Linked DNA regions of Drosophila melanogaster. The gene in region 1 interacts genetically with each later gene. Each region holds a gene or a part of one and is shown on either strand. Other genes may lie near its edges. The genes, in order: nolo and Oatp30B.

Region 1 (9,891 bases):
CACTTCACCATTGCAATGCATTGACTTGATTTGATAGTTCACTTAGTTCAATATAGTTGTAAACTCTTTATTATTTATTATTATTATTATGTATAAGTGTTTTTCACATAAATTGAATAAATAATATTAATTTTCAATGACAGCATTGTATGAAATAAATTCATAACATTTTTTTTTTGTGAAGCACCTTCAAGAAAATTTAAAAAATCACCGATTGAACTAAATGAACGACCTAGTTCGACATAATACTTTTTGAATGCAAAATATGGATTTCTGATATTTTCAGCACCTAATTACTAATAAGTCCTCAAGGTTACAAATATTGCACTAATATATATTTGTAATATTGTGGAATATTTAAATTACCATTAAAGTTTTTCAGTTAACTTATTCAACAAATTGTTCTTACCACAAACAAAGCGGCCCATATTTTTGGAGACGTCCAGTTCATGTTCACCGACATTTTTGTCTCGTAATCATGTTTTCTTCTGCAACAAAGTATAAGTACAATTATTTCAAAATATAGACATGTACATCACTAAATATATACACATTTTTTGCTGGTCAAATTTGTTAACATAATCCCAAGGCCCTATCCCGAAAACGGCCTTAAATAATTATTAAGTAAAACGACACCTTCTAATCTAAACAAGAATTAAATAAGCTCCAACATGAGGTACATTTCATTGATGGACTCGGCTGGACTTACTTTAAATCCCTTTTGAATGTTGGATATTACAACTAATGTAAGGGGGAAAAACTTGACGTATGGATTTACAAACATGGCTAGATCGACTAGACTTTTGATGATGATTAGAAAGATATATACTATATAGGGTCGGAAACGCTTCATTTGACCTGATACATACTTTTCAACGATGCCCGGTTGCCCTTTTACTCAACGAGTAACTGTTATAATTACAACAATAATTATAAAAATTTAAACTCAAATAATTCAAATATTTCTGGGCTTTTTTCGGAAGCCTGAGAAGAAAACGATGTTGAAGGATATTCTCCTGTGCGATAACCGCTTCAACTGTAATTGCTTTTATCATATGCTTCCGTTGTTAATTCCCATTAATTATAAACTGTGACAATCTCTGCTCGCCGCATTGCAGTTTGCAGTCCCTGTAGAGGGTACGTATGTTCGTTTAGAGAACAACCATGTGAGAACTATAAATTCAATAAGCAAGCATCAACGGGGGACACGTGAAAGTCAAAATAAGGTTAGACAATAAAAAATGAAGAAGTTTCTTTTTCGATTCAAAGCACATATGCATGTACATATATGAGTTTATATAGGTAATAATGTTTGCCTAACGACAGAAATACGACACAAGACACGCTTTTTACAGAGCAAAAAGATAGCAGTAACTTTTCACTAACAGCCAAAACTTTTTGGTTTCAGCTAGCAACGCCTTCTAGATGTAACTATTAATGACATATGCAATATAAATAATAAGTGCATGTGATTCGCTATAAATTATTACTTGCTACTAAATATTTTGTGAGTTATTTAAAGTAAAGGCACCCGAACACAATTTCAAAGGTCAATTTGTAAACAGTTGTTAGTCATTTGACCCATAAATCCAATAAAAGCCAGATTTCTATAATTCTATAATCAAGCGATACAGTTTTATTTGTTTTTTAATCAGATTTTCTAACTAAAAGCTAGATCGACTACCAAAAAATAGATCAATTCACAGTCGCCGATATCTGGAGCCTAGCCGTACCCAGTCTTTTTCACATCCTCGCTCCTTGAGTGACGTATAGGGATTTGTCACTCCACAGGCACTCTCCAATTGCAATGGACCCACACCGAAGACAGCAGATGCTGCAAGTATCATGACCGAAATAAGCTTCAACACTTATACAGGGTGCGGCAGCATAATATTATTTCTTCAGAACTCATTGAATACTATTTTAGGCATCGGAAAATATTTATGAGATAAAGCGCTCTGGAAAGTGTTCCGTCAAAATAAGTTACGTTCTGAAAGTTCCTGCACTATCGCCATCTTATACGGATGAAAATGAAGATCATCATGAAGAATTCTTCTCACAGAACGATCGGATAGTCCAAAGGCAGATCCGTGTTTGGACGCAGAACGCCGTGGGGATTGCAATATTGACGCTCGTACTGCTTCAATGTTCTTAGGCGATCTAACGGGTCGAGGGATTCCAGTTCATCGTTTTGTCGCACTTGCAGTTTGCCTGAATGTAGTGACCCATGAAACAATTGATTTGCGGTCTGGGACGTGAGCCAACGGAGCTAAATTAAAGCGATACCGAAATGCACGCTGTGCTTCCCGCCGTGCGGGAAAAACTTTGCAGTAACCCCTCTTGAATGGGACCACTATCGCTCCGCTATGACATCAATTAACTGAATAGCGTGCATTTTAAAAAAAGGAAGTTATGTTGCCGCACCCTGTATCTTCAGCAGCAAGATTGTTTCGCGATGGTACAGCCGAATGGACCAACGTACAAAATATAATGTGTTCATTCGGGTTATAATACCTCCTGCTTTCTAGCAAAATGGTGCTGACAGTTTGGAAGCAAGAATTTAACGAAAAAAAAGCAAGAGAGAAAATCTGTCCGTATGAATATCGAAATCTCAGGAACTATAAAATCTTGAAGGTTTAGATTAAGCATACGGATTCCAGAGACAAAGACGCTGCCCAAGTTTGTTTGCTCATGTTTCCACTCCCACTCTAACGTCCAGAAATAGCACAAAACTGCCACACCCGCACTTTAAAAAAAATTGTTGATATTTTTCACATTTCTATTAGTTTTGTAAATTTTTATCAATTTGCAAAAAACACACCCACTGTAACGTCCTAAAACCGCTAAGCCGGTCACGCCCATACTTTTGAAGAAATTGTAAATTTTTTCTCATTTTATTCCCCGATATCCCAGAAATTTCGCGTACGCATTCACACTAGCTGAGTAACGGTTATCTGATTGTCGAGGAACTCTACTATAGTATTCTTTCTTGTTTTCAATTTATTAATCTACATCTGCTTGTATACTTGAAGTTGAGTATAGCAGAATTCTTCTTGTAGTTAAATTGTTATACTCATTAAAACTCGCTTTGTCACTTTGAACCTTCTGATAGAAAGCTTTGAGTCCTTCCAATTCCACCTGCCAAGCCCTTCTCAAATTGATAAAGATGTTAAAAAAAAGTTCTGGGTGAAGTGACCACACGGGTACGGGTACGGGCAGGACTTGACGGCAGAATCATATGAACATCCCCCGGTCAAGACGTTTTCCACATTGGCTGAATTTTCATTCATACCTTGGTTTTTTATGCACCCGAACCATACAACCGACAGTCTGTTCGGCACTTTACACTGTCGCTGACTTTTTGCAAACTTTTTCCGCATTACCTTATTCACACTTGTTTTAGCACCCCACGCTCAACAAAAATTGTTCTTGGATGTTTTACAATTTACTTAAAAAGCACGACGACATTGTGTGAGTCGTCGGAACCTTTTTATGCATTTGCCGTTTATTAAGGAACTGTCGACATATGTGAACACTTATGTACATTGCTTGGTTCCCGTGTGCCGAGTTCGGATTGGGCCTATTAAGCTTTTGTGTCTCATTGTGTGCTTTACAAAAATACATTGGGACCGGGCATTTCGTATTCTTATTAAATCTTTATTGGGATTTTGTCCGAAACCTAAAATATGCACTCTTCGACGGTACACATATAAAGTTTCCTATACTTTTGTTGGATGTTATCGGACTTCGTACATGGATTGAGTTCAATTACTAATGGGGGTTGGGATAATAATGTAAAATCTAGCATAACGATCCTTGCTTTCGATAACTCTTAATTTTAGTCTTTAGGACCCAAAAGAAATATTGCATTTTTAAAAGCACTTCGTTCGGCAGTTTTTCTCTCAACTCAAGTCTTTACAATATAGAAGCTTAATCAAGTGGGTCTACCGACCTATGCTTCACAAACCATGCAAGTTATAAGAAAACTGAATAAAAATTAAAAGTTTAGTAGGATTTTTGTATGTAGACAAGTAAAGTTGTCAGACTTACGGCAATCAGAAATTAAATGGCTTGACTCGCTCATCTAATAAAAATCCAAGATCCATTTTCAAGTTTATCGGAAGCTTCCACACTCAAACTAAATTAAAATTTAGATTGACGCAATTGCCACTCGTTGGACAATAAGTATCGTTTTAACTTTTCGTGCGACAAAAACGATGGAACATGCTTTTCCAAAATGATGCATTTGACGGTTTAAGAGTATTTTAGGCTTATTGCTCCTTTTTCTGCGTTGTAGTTTCTAATTATGATTTATATAATAGTTGGTTTGCCTGTCGTTTTTTATAGAGCTTTGTTTATATTACTTTTGGTTTCATATTAAATGTTACATTTTATTGAGTAATTAAAATGTATGTTCTAAGTAAAGAAAAGAAATAAAACATATAATTTTTGTCAGCATAAGTTAATTTTTTATTATTGAAATTATATTATTTCGATCATATATATCATTTCACATATTTTGTAAATTTCTAGTATTATAATTTTTCACTTTGTCGAAAACACAACATAAAGTATACTTTAAATATTTCGGCTCAAATTGGTCGGTAAACGTTTAACTTTACATTTTTTGAGCAAAAGGTGACTGATAATATTTGCAAACGGTTTTAAGTGGATAATCCTAGACCACTTAATCACGTAATTTAACTGAATCTTTTTGAATATTTGTTGCTTTCGCACTACAACAACACCGTCGCGCACAAAGCAATACATCAACTGTGCAACGTGAAAGTCCCCAATCACTGAATTTTCCTTTACCGTTAGCACAGCCCGCGAGCTCGGAAAATCACTTGAAAACTGTTCGCCCGCGTCGTCATCATTTTCATTTGCCGGCCGTCTTCGCGCAGCAACAATGCTGCCGAAACATTAGAACGAGCTTGACTCAAAATGCGAGCAACAATGCTGCAGCAACATTGGAACGAGTGAGTTTTTGAATTCGAGTGAGGTGAGTTCTGGTTGGTGAGGGGTAAGTGAGGTGAGTTCTAGGTGGTGAGGGGTATTGTTTGAGTGATTTTTTTTTAATGTGGAACACAATAATGAGAAAAAGAAAAAGCTCTTTTCTTTCCCGAAAGCTGTTAAATTCAGCAAGAGAGCTATTCTACAGTTTGAAGCAGCTTCACGAACCATTTCTATATTTGATGCGTGGGCACCGGTGGGCAAATATGTACGTGGTTTAATTTTTAAAAATTTATGGAAATTTACAAAACGAATACAAAAATCAACAAATATCAAAACGTTTGTCAAAAGAGAGACAACATGGTACGTGTATGTAAACAAAGCATTATTTTGGGCGGAAAGGTGTTTGGCTATGGTTTAATTAAAAAGTTTTATTCAAAATATACCAATTAGGCGTTCTGTCTTCCCCGGGTTGAAAATATTCAACTGTTGTCCTCCTTTCAATTGACCAATATCTCTAGTTCCTGGTTAGTTTTCCACGTTTTTTAGAAAAAATAAAATATCTGATATAAGCGGGATCGCAAGTGGAGAATAGGGTACAGTAGAGTAGAGTTTCCAAGGCTGCTTTATCAATGATACGAACCTGAACTCAGAGGTGACATGAGGCCGTCTAATTCGAAAGTTTCAAGTGACGCTAGAGCAAAAGGAGAGAAGAGAGAACGCTATAGTAGAGTTCCCTGAGTATCAAACACCCATTACTTATCTAGTGTGAATGCGAACGCCATATTTCATAATTTATAAAATAATTATCTTGTTGTTGGCAAATCGATAGAAATTTACAAGACTAATAAAATTATGAACAAATTTGGAAAAATGGTTAATGGTGCGGTTTTAGGGCGTTAGAGTGGGCATCTCAGCCTTCTAGTTTTTATAGCTCCTGAGATCTCAACGTTCATACGGATAGGCGGACACATGGACATGGCTAGATCGACTCGGCTATTGATCCTGAGCAATATGGTTGGAAACGCTTCCTTCTGCCTGTTACATACCATTCAACGAACAAACGATATCCTTATACTCTACGAGTAGCGGGTATAATGAATACCAAAAACACTTACGCCATGACCTTCCACCGCATTTTTTACAAATTTTGAAACTTCTTGTCGGAAAATTTGACTTTCGGATCTCTTGATTTTTTTCGTTTTATTATTTGTCTGCCAAATTTCTGTCGATATGCCGTGGCGTGACCCACTCTTACACCTACAAACCTCAATAAGTTTTCAAGCCCACAATTCAAACCTTTTTTTAATTCCTACCGCAACGCCAACAAAATTTTTAAATATTTTCCTAGAGAATCGCATTAGCTATGTAATGGGTATCTAATAGTCGTAAAAATCGACGATAGCGTTCTCGCTTGCTATACTTTAAATATTACTGCGTGCGTAGAATTTCGAAATGCCGTTTGATCGAAACTATCATAAGTCGTTAACTTTAAAGGCTCGGCATCTATGAGCAAATGAGAATATAACTAGCTTTCACTTAAAGTTTATTTTTCATAAGATAGTTTAAGCGATAAAGAAATATATATATATAGATTAGATTATTTTTAAGAAAAATAATTTAGAAGAAATTTAAGCGGATGTATGTAAATTAATAATAGTGCTTAGCAATATTTATTTATGGCTATATAAACAACCACGATTTCGACGCGGAAAATTACGTGGAAAATTACGAAAACGTCATTCTGTAAAATAAAAGTTTAAAAACTATAAAGTAAACATGCAAAATAACTATCTGATGAATCTGTCACGTGAACTACTATCGATCAACTACTGGTTCCGACTATCGAAAATATCAAGAATTGTCCCAGCTCTATGGTCGCTGCAGCGCCTCGCTCTTTCCTGTCGAAACGCCGTTGAAAGGCGTAGTGTTTTTTTGGTCCGCGAGAAAATCTCCATACATCCAAAATGGTAGGTGCCCAAAGTCAGAAATAATAGCCCCATATCTACAGAAAAGGCCTAGAGGCGACCTGCATTAATATCTTTAATGCCCAGTGCAAAAAGTGCAGATGTCTCAACCATTACTTGGTGAAATGATGTGTCCACATATTTTCACGTTTGCTTGTTGTGTGTGTGTGCATTATGGTGAAATGCAAGACAAAGACTAGGAATGACGTATGCAATTTTCTATTGAAATTTGGCTAGAATGTGATCCTGTTTGGTGCTTGTTGTGAAATACCCAAGGAATAGATGTATATTGCTATATTTATCGATGCCCATACTCGCGAGTGAGTGATTTGTGGTTTTTAGTTCTTATCTAACCTCAAAGACCTTTGCACGACTGTGAAGACTTAGTGTGTGTATGGACGCCATTTTTAAATCAGCACTGTGTATAGATCGAGTGGAAACTCGTTATAATATGTACATAACGATGCCTTATTTATTTTACAGGTCAACTTCACCGTCGACGAGATCCGTGGCCTCATGGACAAGAAGCGGAACATCCGCAACATGTCTGTGATTGCCCACGTAGACCACGGCAAGTCCACTCTGACCGATTCCCTTGTGTCGAAGGCTGGTATCATTGCCGGAGCCAAGGCTGGTGAGACTCGTTTCACTGACACCCGCAAGGACGAGCAGGAGCGCTGCATTACCATCAAGTCGACGTAAGACCAGTCATGTTCCAGCACCCACGGCTTTTTTAATCCGCCTTTCATTATTGCAGTGCCATTTCCATGTACTTTGAGGTGGAGGAAAAGGATCTGGTGTTCATTACCCACCCCGATCAGCGCGAGAAGGAGTGCAAGGGTTTCCTGATCAACTTGATCGACTCGCCCGGTCACGTTGACTTCTCCTCGGAGGTGACCGCCGCCCTTCGTGTAACCGACGGTGCACTCGTTGTTGTAGACTGCGTCTCCGGAGTTTGTGTCCAGACCGAAACCGTGCTGCGTCAGGCCATCGCTGAGCGTATTAAGCCCATCCTATTCATGAACAAAATGGACCGCGCTCTGCTTGAGCTGCAACTAGATGCCGAGGAGCTGTACCAGACCTTCCAGCGCATCGTCGAGAACGTAAACGTTATCATTGCCACCTATAACGATGACGGAGGACCGATGGGTGAGGTTCGCGTGGATCCCTCTAAGGGATCAGTGGGCTTCGGTTCTGGGCTTCACGGCTGGGCGTTCACCCTCAAGCAGTTCTCTGAGATGTACTCCGAGAAATTCAAGATTGATGTTGTCAAGCTAATGAACCGGTGAGTCATGTCTCAAGTTTGTTTGTAAATGTTTTCAAACTTCTACCACAAAACGTGTGGCGCTTAGCGGGCGGCTTCTTGAAAGACATCTCCGCAAGGAAAGTCCTTTTAGAGTCTCTCGTGCTGACGGCGCCACAAGTGGACCTTAAATAGAAGAAGAATAAACTTTCGGATGCTGTTTAAACGCTGACTCGGGACCGCTTTCCTAATGTTCAAACGAGTCATGTTAAGGCAGTTACCTTACACTAATTATTTTTAAATTGTATACAGAAATCTTTTATTGTTCACATAATTTCTTCATATATCTGAAATCAATTGTTGTTTGGCCTCATATTATACAAATCGATATATTCGGACGTCATTTTTGATATCTAAGACTTAAAATTTATAAATCAAATTTGCAACAAATTTATTGGCTGAAATGAATCATTTTGTATTATACAAAATTTCCAGAAAAATAATATTAATTATTTTTTTAAATAAGCGATTTGAACTGGTCATTAAGCATTTCATTAAGTGATAAGTAGTTAATAAGAAATATCTGAAGGCACAATTAATCGTTCAACTTCTTCACAGATTGTGGGGTGAAAACTTCTTTAACGCCAAGACCAAGAAATGGCAGAAACAGAAAGAGGCTGACAACAAACGCTCGTTCTGCATGTACATCCTGGACCCCATCTACAAGGTGTTCGATGCCATTATGAATTACAAGAAGGAGGAGATAGGTACCTTGCTCGAGAAAATCGGTGTGACTCTGAAGCATGAAGACAAGGACAAAGATGGCAAAGCTCTGCTGAAGACTGTGATGCGCACCTGGCTGCCAGCCGGCGAGGCTTTACTTCAGATGATTGCTATTCATTTGCCGTCGCCAGTGGTTGCCCAGAAGTACCGCATGGAGATGCTGTACGAAGGTCCCCATGACGATGAGGCCGCTATCGCCGTTAAGTCTTGCGATCCTGATGGTCCTCTAATGATGTACATTTCTAAGATGGTACCGACCTCTGACAAGGGTCGCTTCTATGCTTTCGGTCGTGTGTTCGCCGGTAAGGTGGCCACCGGGCAAAAGTGCCGAATCATGGGCCCCAACTACACTCCCGGCAAGAAGGAGGACTTATATGAGAAGGCTATTCAGCGCACAATTCTCATGATGGGTCGTTACGTCGAGGCCATCGAGGATGTGCCCTCTGGCAACATTTGCGGTCTGGTCGGTGTTGATCAGTTCTTGGTTAAGACCGGTACGATTACCACCTTCAAGGACGCCCACAACATGAAGGTTTGCAGCGTTTTTCATTTTCTTCTTTTTTTAAGCAGCATACAAATTTATTATTGACTTTTAAAATTTTTTCGTTTTTAGGTCATGAAGTTCTCCGTGTCCCCTGTGGTGCGCGTGGCTGTTGAGCCAAAGAACCCCGCGGACTTGCCTAAGCTGGTGGAGGGCTTGAAGCGTTTGGCTAAGTCCGATCCTATGGTGCAGTGTATCATCGAAGAGTCCGGCGAGCATATCATTGCTGGTGCCGGTGAGCTGCATTTGGAGATCTGCCTTAAGGATCTAGAGGAAGACCACGCTTGTATCCCACTGAAGAAGTCTGATCCCGTCGTCTCCTACCGTGAGACTGTGTCGGAGGAGTCCGACCAGATGTGTCTGTCCAAGTCGCCCAACAAGCACAACCGTCTGCTGATGAAAGC
Region 2 (10,074 bases), about 12 Mb from region 1:
TGAAAAGATATACTCTAAGCCAGGCGCACCAGCGCCACCACTGATTCCGAATGATAATCTAAATAGCGACATGGCACAACTTACACAAGGAACATATCTCACACCTCATGCGCAGCGCATTCAAGAATTTCTCGTGGTACTGGCCATCTGCAACACGGTTATCGTGGGTGCCGCCCCTCATCGAGATATGATGAATGCCAGTGGGATTATCGAAGTGCAGCAAATAGGAAACAGTCCGGCGAATCTTAAGCACGGCAAGCAGCGACAGAAGCTGCTGGCCAGTAGCACAAGTACGACCACGACGACGACTATAATAAATGGACCTACGACACAGCCGCAGGTAGTGTCCATTCCAGCGGATCGTTATATCAGGCTGGCTGAGTCACGATCGGTGACTCCTTCTCCACCTCCCAATCTGCTTTTTGCGTTGCCGGCTCAGAGCCATCAGCCAACGCTTTCGCCTATCAGCAGCTCTGCTGAATCGTCACCGAATTCCGAGTCTGAATCACCATCACCGCCGATGAAAAACAAGTCCCTTTCCAACAGTATTTCGCCCACCGGCAGGGCCAAGGCAGTCATTAACTCCAAGATTACCAGTATAGCAACCTTTCTGAATGCCAAAACTCAGGGAAAGCGAATGAAGTTGCCGTAAGTTTCATTAATTATTGATTTTTTCAAAAGATAAATCTTAATTTTTTGCCATTTTTATTTCCAGTTCATCCAAAACGGGAACGATTTACAGAACCGCCGATGGGCGACCGCTCTACGAAGCCGAGAGTCCTGATGAGTTGGCCCTCGTGAATGCAGCCTATAGCTATGATTGCTGCCTACTTAATCGCAGTCCCAATCAGATTTTGGTCAGCATGCCAATGGCGGGAGCCACAAGAGAGTACGAGATACTCAAGGTGCTGCCCTTTGATTCCAGTCGCAAGTGCATGTCAATTGTGGTTCGACAGATTGGCAGTCAGGAGATTGTGCTGTACACCAAGGGCGCAGATAGCTCTATCATGCCCGTCTTGGTGCCTTGCTCGCATAACAGTCCCGAAGGTGAGTGGCACATGCATTATATACTTCATAGTGTTTCGATAATAAATGACCGATTTGATTGATTTTTAGGCATATTGCGAGAACAGACCCAGCAACTGCTAGATCGGTATGCCCGCGAAGGTTTGCGCATCCTAGTAATGGCCAAACGGACTCTGAACTCTGCCGACTATACGGATTGGTGGGCGCGGCATCAGGAAATCGAGATGTCGTTGGAGAACCGCGAACGAAGATTACGTGATTCATTCGCGAAGCTGGAAAGCAATCTGACTCTGTTGGGAGCAACAGGCATCGAAGATCGCCTACAGGATGGAGTGCCGGAGACGATAGCCTCGCTTCTCTCCGCGGGGATTTCAGTTTGGGTTCTGACTGGTGACAAGCCCGAAACGGCCATAAATATTGCCTACTCTGCAAAGCTATTTACCCAGCAAATGGAGCTCATAAGGCAAGCAAAATTATAAATTAAGAGTGCTTCCACAATGCCTTTAATTTTTACGTTGAAGTATCTAATTGTAATTCCTGCGTCGTTTTAGGTTAACAGCACGATCCCGCGATGCTGCTGAAACAGCCATAAATTTCTATCTGACTGATATGGAGAATGACAAGACAACATCCACGTTAGGCTATGGCCAGTCGTTAAGAAAGAAACAACGCGCATTGGTAGTGGATGGAAAGACCTTAACATTTATCCTTGATCCAAAGTGAGTTAGACACAAAGTGTGTTTTTATCCTCTTATTTAATTGCATTACCAATTTACAGATCCAAACTAATCCTGCCTTTTCTGCGGCTGTCTAAGCGGTGCGCTTCGGTACTCTGCTGCCGATCCACTCCGCTGCAAAAGGCCTACCTAGTCAAAGTGGTTAAGGAGGAGCTCAATCTGCGAACCCTGGCCATCGGGGATGGCGCCAACGATGTGTCCATGATCCAGATGGCAGACGTGGGCGTTGGAATCTCTGGTCAAGAAGGCATGCAGGCCGTCATGGCCGCCGATTTCACATTACCCCGCTTTCGTTACTTGGAGCGCCTACTCTTGGCGCACGGCTATTGGTGCTACGATCGATTGTCCCGCATGATTTTATACTTTTTCTATAAGAATGCTGTAAGTTTAAGATCTGATAAGATAATAAGGAAACTTTAAATCCTACAATAATCCTTTGTTCCAGGCCTTTGTCTTTCTGATATTCTGGTACCAGTTGTACTGTGGATTTTCTGGCCAAGTGATGATGGATCAGATGTACTTGATGCTGTATAATTTAATATTCACCTCGCTGCCACCATTGGCCATTGGAGTGTACGACAAGCGTGTGGCCGAAGATCTCCTGCTAAAAAATCCATATCTCTATAAAAATGTGAGTTAAGAAGCAAGTTGTATGCATAATCTATATGATTAATTATTGTGAATCCATTCGTTTTCAGGGTCGACTGGGCGTAGCTTATAGACCACACGACTTTTGGCTAATACTACTGGATGCCCTCTATCAGAGCCTGGTCATATTCTTCGTGGCGCTGTGCGCCTATGCGGAGAGTGATGTAGGAATCTGGGAGTTTGGTACGACGATAACGGCATCCTGTCTCTTCGCCAACCTCGTACACTGTGCCATTGAAATACGTTCCTGGGTGAGAGTTTATTCAACAAGGTTAATAAATTCTATGCATGCTTATTAAATTTTCGTATTTTCCCTTTCAGACTGTGCTGCATGTCTTATCCATAGTGCTTAGTCTAGGTTCCTTCTACCTCTTTGCGATCGTTTACGATTCTGTGTGCATGAATTGCTTCGGAGTCCGGTCGTCATACTGGGTCATCTTTGTGTGCTTTGCCTCCGCTGTTCACTGGCTAGTGATAATGCTCTCCACAGTGGTGGCAGTTCTGCCACGGTTAGTATGAAAATATATTTCGATTTTAAACGTTTAATTAATTTTTATTATTTTTACAGCCTGCTCCTAACAACAGTGCGCATTTCGTTGTGTCCCGACGACAGCACCAAAGTTATTCTGCAAAGCAAACGGGAGCGCAGCAGAGGTGAGGCTTTGTTAGTTACTTGGTCGCGCTCCACGTCAGCCTCATCAATCTATAGGTAAAAAGGCACAAAATACTTGATCTGCAAGCAAGTTGCAACTTTTTCATTTGCACGATTTGAGTATACCCTTTTGAGCATGTATTAGTTTGTTTTGATTTTGTGTCTTTTTATTTCTACATTGTTGCGCAATTCTTTAATGCAATTCGTATTTAATACAACAAAAAATTGATGCCGTCTTACAGAATCACCGATTATGGGTCTAAGAATCAGATTATAACAACGATTACCTGATTAAGCGCCAAAATGCAATTCTTCGGCTATCTCAGCGGCAACTAAAATAAGGAAGACGACTAGCAACCCCCAAAACTTGTACACATGTGCTTTCGCTCTTAATATGTGGCCTTCGACACCGATTATTGATAATATTGCGTTAGTTTAGTTAATCCACTTATCTTAAAAGTACTTAGTAAGCAATTCAAATAATTTGTTTAGCGAATGATTGAGTAAGCGCTTAGATTTCCGAGTTATCTATCTGAATATTAGTTAAACTGTTTGCCTTAACACTAGAATGAAAGCAATTGCACAATTGCATGTATGTCATAGTTTACATATTTATTTGTATAAAACTAGGGAGCCAGAAGTGCTCGAGAATTGAACCCAACCTAACCGACTATTGTTAAATAGAAGCGAAAATGCAATGCTTATTTATGTGTACGATTATTTAAACTAGCGACTAATAGATGTATCACCCTAACAGAAATACTTGACAATTCAAACACAACAGAACTCCATTGCGAGTTCGATGATAAGGCTGTGATTCTACACTCATGAAGGATATACCTAAGCATATGATATATATATACATACACAAACCTATAGACCTTAGATGTTAGTTGCATTGATTCAAGTATTGACAGAATTGTTTCTCACCTTCTGTTTCTTAGTTTGTTGTGTAAACAAGAACATTTTTTACTTTTTTATTGAGACCATGCAATGACAAGTTGTAATAATCGATTGTTGTAATCTATTAGTTGTACTAAACCAATTAATCTACTTGTAGTCCTCTTCAAAAAGAATACAATAAGATAAACTCTAAATGCAATTCGAAATTAACTGGGTTTGTTAAGAGAATGAATACCAGAGAGCAAAAATTGTTAGCTGAATATTTACATTGTTGAAAAGCAAGAAATCATTAAATGAAATAAATGTATATTTACCTACAAAAAAAAAACCGTAAAAATGTGTTTATTTAATGAGTTACATTTATGAACAAATTGTATTGATTGGAACATTCGGTGATCTAAGGAATTATATCAACGAATCTCAGCATTGCCTAAATTCGGAATGTTTTCCTTTTAACCATATATATATCTTGATAAACATTATGTATTTCTACAAGCATTTAAAAAATGGAATCTACATGTGTATATGTTTTAGGCTGTCGAATTATGTGGGTTTGTGCATCCACTATATGTCAAAAACAAGGTTTGAGTATAGGCTAAATCCGGAACAGTGATGAGAAAGAGAAAAGCCACAACGTTGTCTTATAAAAAATTATTGTTTTTCGCTGTAACATTTTATATTATAAATGTCGTTCTAATTTTGATCTTCCCTTTATATTAAATACATTGTGAATTCCACAAAAATTACAAAGTAGACTTGAAATAACGATATATCGACAGTTGTGCCATCCCTAGAACAATCGCTCTCTGTCTTTTCCCCATTCATTTTATCACCATTCGCCTTTTGAAATCCGAATTCGACGGATGGTAAAATTTTGAGCCGTTGAGATTGAACCGAACGAATTCGCGTCGAAGTGATTGAGCCACCTTTTTTGTTGCTTTCTCATGGCAGCCAAACGAAGAAGTGTTGAATTGATTTTGTGATACTTTCTCGACAGCATCGCTCCGGCGGGCAAGTGCGTGTGTGGGTGTGATCAAACATAAATAACGTGCAATTACGGGTCAGTAACCCAAACAAAGTGATAAGAGCGCAAGAGGTCCTTGATGAATACGAGTGTAAGGAGTGATAAAATAAAATCTCCTATTTGCCCTGCATGCGTGTGTGTGGGTGCTTCTCACCTGTTTGTATGTTTGTGTGTGTGCGGACATCTGTTCTGTCTCGTCTTCTTATGTTGCCGTCCGTGGCTCTGTCTCCCCATCTTCCTCCGTCCCTTTTCGACCAGACTCGTCTCGTCTCGCTCTACATAGCCACCAGGTAACGGTGTGTGTGGGGGATTACAGGGTTGCTCTCTCTCTCTCTCTTTCTCCATCTCTCTCTGCGTGGTAAACGTTTTGTTGTTCTTTCATAATGCAACAATAAATTATCCAATCGTGCCGCAAAAAAAATTTTTTTTGTAGATGAAAAAAATCATCGAAATTATATTTACATACATATGTATGAATGTTTATCCTTTTTCTGTAGACCAAATGCAATTTTATAATTTCGCAAAAACACTAAACAAATTTTCAATGTTCGAAGAGCAATTCAATGTCAGGAAAAATTAGTGTGAGAATGACAAAGACGATGGAATAGTTTTCTTTTCAGGGAGAGACCTGTTTTCCTTTTAAAGCACTTGTTACAGATTCCCTTTTTCCCCTCCCCCAATTTTTGTATCCCTTGCTCCCCCACTGAGTTTTCCTTTGTGGCGTTTTCTCGTGTTTTCTTCGTTGTTGCCTTTCAATTGATTTATTTTTGCATAATCGTTCATTGCCAGACCAAAGCAACTCATAAGCAAGAAAAAAAATATAAAAACGCACGCTAAGTACAATTGACACATGTGTTCAAGTATAGATATAGGTACAAATGTTGGTATATATAGTACTCACATAGTACGCACATTTTTACATTTATATGTACTATATGAGCGCAGATAGATGGTGGTATTTTTGAGTAATTTACAGTCATGCTAATCGCAAAATCATATTCCAATTGGAAGCCGATTCTAAGATATTTGTACTTCTACTCTCCGAGAATGATGCAGTACCTTCGAAATTAACTGTTGACCACCCGAAATTTGGTTAAAAAAAACTGGTTTTCCTATCTCAACTCGCTGGATATCTCACAGCTCTTCTAAAATAGAGTGTGACACGTTCGAATATACATATATTCAGTTAAATTATTAAATTAAATTAGTACTAATTTCATTTTAGCTAGCACTAAAGAAGTAAGAACACCGTGTTGCAAAATAATATAAAAACATTCACTTGTCCGTTTTTAATAACAATCAGACAGGTGTTCAGCTTTGTTTTTATCCGATTTTTCCTGCATTTACACACCTCAATGTGTGATCCCAATATTCGTATGTATGTCTGGTTTCATTTCTTGCGCTTGGCTGGCGCTGACGTTTCATCTCTTTCTGTTGCCCATCGTCCCTCTCACGCTCCCTTTTGCTGTTGGTAGCCCCAATTAGCTGGGTTTTCTTGCCAAATCTCAGCACGTAACAAAAGCAGGCGGGTAAAACACCAACATTGGGGTATAAACATAATCGGGTGATCGCGTTACGCTCTCTTTCTAACGGTGTTTGAGCTGGACTCTCTCAATCAAGCAAACGTAAACCGGTTAAAGCAACGTCTTATTGAAACTCTCGCTCTCTCTTGAGAGAGAGAGAGAGAGGGAGAGAAACAGATAAATCGCGCGATTGTTATTCTTCAATAAGTAAACGAAATTATCCAATAATTTTCAGCAAAACAAATATGTGCAATTTTAATGCGAAATAATTAGAGGGGAATCTCTTCGATTTGTGTGTGTTTACAAATAAATCAGCAAATGAATGTGCGAAATAATCTCAACGAACAGTCAAATTGAATGAAAAGTCGTCGGGAAATTTGAAGGCAAGGAGGAAACGCAAGGAAAGCAAACTGAAGGTGAGTCCTCACGAAAGTATTTGTTTTGATTTTGCAATTGTTTCGCTCGTTTTGACAACTTGTCAACGGGTTTTGCCAACTTCCCACACACATGGCCTATGAAATCAAGTTGTTGTTGGCATTGCAAATAGGCCGAATGACCAGATATTTATTACGTGACTTCTTTTTCGCCCAAAACCACTGGAACTTAACTGCCAATGGTGACGAAAATTGAAATCGAATCGACGAGTGTGTCACACAATATCAATCAAAGTCGCTGAAACAAAGCTTCAGCAGCTGAAACTGCAGTTCGATATAATGGAATGTTGAGTGCGGCGATGGGATAACTTTTCCGAACGTCGGAAAATCGACGGTGGGAAAATCGATTGCAAAGTCGGCGATTGGCAGGACTTAAGGGCTTCCTAACAGTAAAACTTTGCCCACGAGGGCATTCAACCTAAGCCGAAAATCAGGACCTTCGATCCCATTCCATTCGATTTGTGACACGATTTGTATGTTTTTTTTTGTGTAAGAGGTTACTTGTTGGTATGTTGTATGCCATAAAGTTAGTAAGCACTTTATTGCATTTAATAATAATTTATCAGATTCGCTTAACTATCTGTTTTTTGTATTTGTTTTAGTACGATTTAACAAATAATTTATACGATGCATTCAGCAGCTGCTGCCTTTGTGTGTTTTCCAAAGTCGTTAAAACTTTTCATATTGTTTCCCAATTCCTCGTCTATATCGCTTAATTCGTTTATACCAACATTCAATTCGCCATGCATTTGGTTTTATGCCCATTTGGATGAATGTATCTTTGTATCTTCGCCAGTGAAATGTTTTCGTCTTAAGCTTCGATTGCTTTGGCTTTTGTACAAGCGCTGAATGAGTTTTCACATATCGTCTAATTACGGCTTTAACCGAGCACTGGGTATAATTTCATTTAAAAGTCATTGGCGTAAATTTTTTCATAATCTGAAAGCTACGCGAGGCGTTGTTACATCATTAGGTACTTGAAAATTGATTAATTTTGTGTGAGACGGCGCAGATGAAGGGAATGGATAGTTCTGCAATTAAAAGGGAACGAAAATATCAATTAACTTTTTACACAACGTCGGCAGAAAACTTGAAGAAGTTGAGACGGAATGTTTACTTGGGCAAACTGTGAAAAGTGGAAAATTCCCCCCAATATGGTCGTTTTTGTTTACCGAGGGCACTTAAATGTTCTTTTCAAAGTAGCAATTAAAAAGTCGTAAAAAACGAACACACAAAGTACCCCAGAAATATTTGCAAAAAGTATACAGCTCAGCTATTTGTCCAGATGTTTACAGATTTGGTAAAGTACCTAAATAATATAATAGTTTTTTTTGGGAAACTGCACCATTTGGAGGAAGGAGTCATGCCAACTGAATCAAGTTTTTTAGGGTAACTAGACAAAAAACGCACGAAATTTCTCATTGACTCTTGTTTTCATTTCTCATTCTCAGGCGGAGAAAGCGGTTTTTTTTTTTTTAAACAATGCCAGTAAAAACAACGGCGATCAGAAATTATACAAATTTCGGTTGTATGGCGTCGTCGAGCAGAATAACAACAATGATAACCATTTTAGTAAATTCACCAAAAGTCGGTAAGAGAAAAGGCCCATCACAACGAAACTGGTGTTTTTTGTTTTTTTGTACGTTAGTTTTTTCTTCCTCGACTGCTCACAAATTGCGTTGAACAGAGATTTAGGGCCACCCATCCATTCATTCATTCATTCATTCATTCGTTCACCGACTCGTTCACCTATTTGTTTTATTTTTCGTGTGTATTTTTCAACTTTTCCTGTTGTAATTTTTTGATTGGTCTCACTGTGTCGCATGTTGGCGTTTTTAGGTCGGTTCCAATCTATGTGTGTGTGTATTTTTTTCGCCCTGCCTGCACACGCAAATTAAAGTTTACCCTAAATATATATGACTTTCCACTTTTCCCGATTTTTTATTTTCATTTCAAAACAATGGCAATTAAAGTTTCCATTTTGATTTAAGCATTTTTGGTGCTCCCTATCTATGCGATTTGAATTTAAATGTTGGCCTGAGCTATGTTTACTTTCTTTTTTATTTATAAATTCGAACCTGGATTTTTTTTTTGTTGGTAGCTTCTTAGCCGAATTTAATGAGCTGCTTTGGTGCAGTCATACATATTCACGAATCAAAAGCTATGCTAAAAGCTATGTTCCCATTTCTTTGTTAGACTCTTCTAAAGATTACTCCCATCCCATAGTTTCTTGGGTCGATGTTCGCCTTTAGATAATCCCGCCCTCTAGATTAAGTCCCGCCGTGAAGAAGTTATACAAACTGGCAGAAAAACAAACAAACAAGCGAGAATGTAAGGCCCTTTTCGGAAAAGTGATGCTGGGCGGTTTAGGGCGAGCCTAATATAATCCGATCTATCCCATCTGAAAACGTTTTTGATCTGAGGAGAGGTGGCACATACGTACATATGTACATATGTATGTACCATTCATGTGTGCTCTGTTGATTTGTCTTCATTATCAGCTCGTTGACTGTTTGCTTCTGATTCTCGGGTAAACATAGAGCAGACGACGTGGCCGTGATTGTTTGTAGTGTTTGCTTTTTTGTGGTAAAACTTATTTTTAATCTTCGAGCATACAGCGCGTTGCCAAGTCGCTCCTCCTACGGCATTTTCTGCCCTCCACTCTGTTACACCCCCCCGGAAACCACCATGGCGTATGAGTTATTTTCGTTTGTTCGATGGTCTCAAGTCGATCGGACGCTTTGCACATTTTATGAATGCCTTTGACATTCACACAGTAGTCCCCTTTCCAATAAATTACGATAGATACAACACACTTTTATCATATTTGGACTTTGATGGCAGTGGTTACTCATTCCTTGACAGAAAATCAATATAATAAGCTTTTATTTTGCTTATTTGTATTATCTTTAAGACTGAAATGTAAGATGTTTCTAAAAATAAAATACATGCAGTTTATTCCAACAAAAGTAGTCTACTATATATGTAGTCATATAAGGATGGGCATATTTTATTCAGGCACTGCAGCGTGTTTATCTCAGATATATTGACGCATGGCTCCTGTTGTGGCTTCCATTGTTTCTATTTTAATTATTCCGCATCTTTATAATTCCCAAACATGCGTCAA

The links.
Region 2: of nolo (region 1) and Oatp30B, changing one enhances a phenotype caused by changing the other (phenotypic enhancement), as found in Drosophila melanogaster (one study listed by BioGRID).

Annotation. Positions count from the first base shown.
Region 1 is NT_033779.5:21,679,071-21,688,961, reverse strand, and holds the start of nolo (no long nerve cord), read right to left. Parts: upstream 4,857-9,891; 5' UTR 4,623-4,856; intron 4,417-4,622; 5' UTR 4,051-4,416; intron 489-4,050; 5' UTR 464-488; coding exon 410-463; intron 1-409. Other genes in the region: eEF2 (eukaryotic translation elongation factor 2), read left to right, coding at 6,921-6,923, 7,404-7,618, 7,678-8,205, 8,782-9,478, 9,560-9,891.
Region 2 is NT_033779.5:9,516,415-9,526,488, forward strand, and holds the start of Oatp30B (organic anion transporting polypeptide 30B), read left to right. Parts: upstream 1-4,795; 5' UTR 4,796-5,081; intron 5,082-6,748; 5' UTR 6,749-6,929; intron 6,930-10,074. Other genes in the region: CG33298 (uncharacterized protein), read left to right, coding at 1-648, 716-1,047, 1,117-1,489, 1,578-1,745, 1,805-2,144, 2,209-2,394, 2,462-2,662, 2,733-2,920 and 2 more.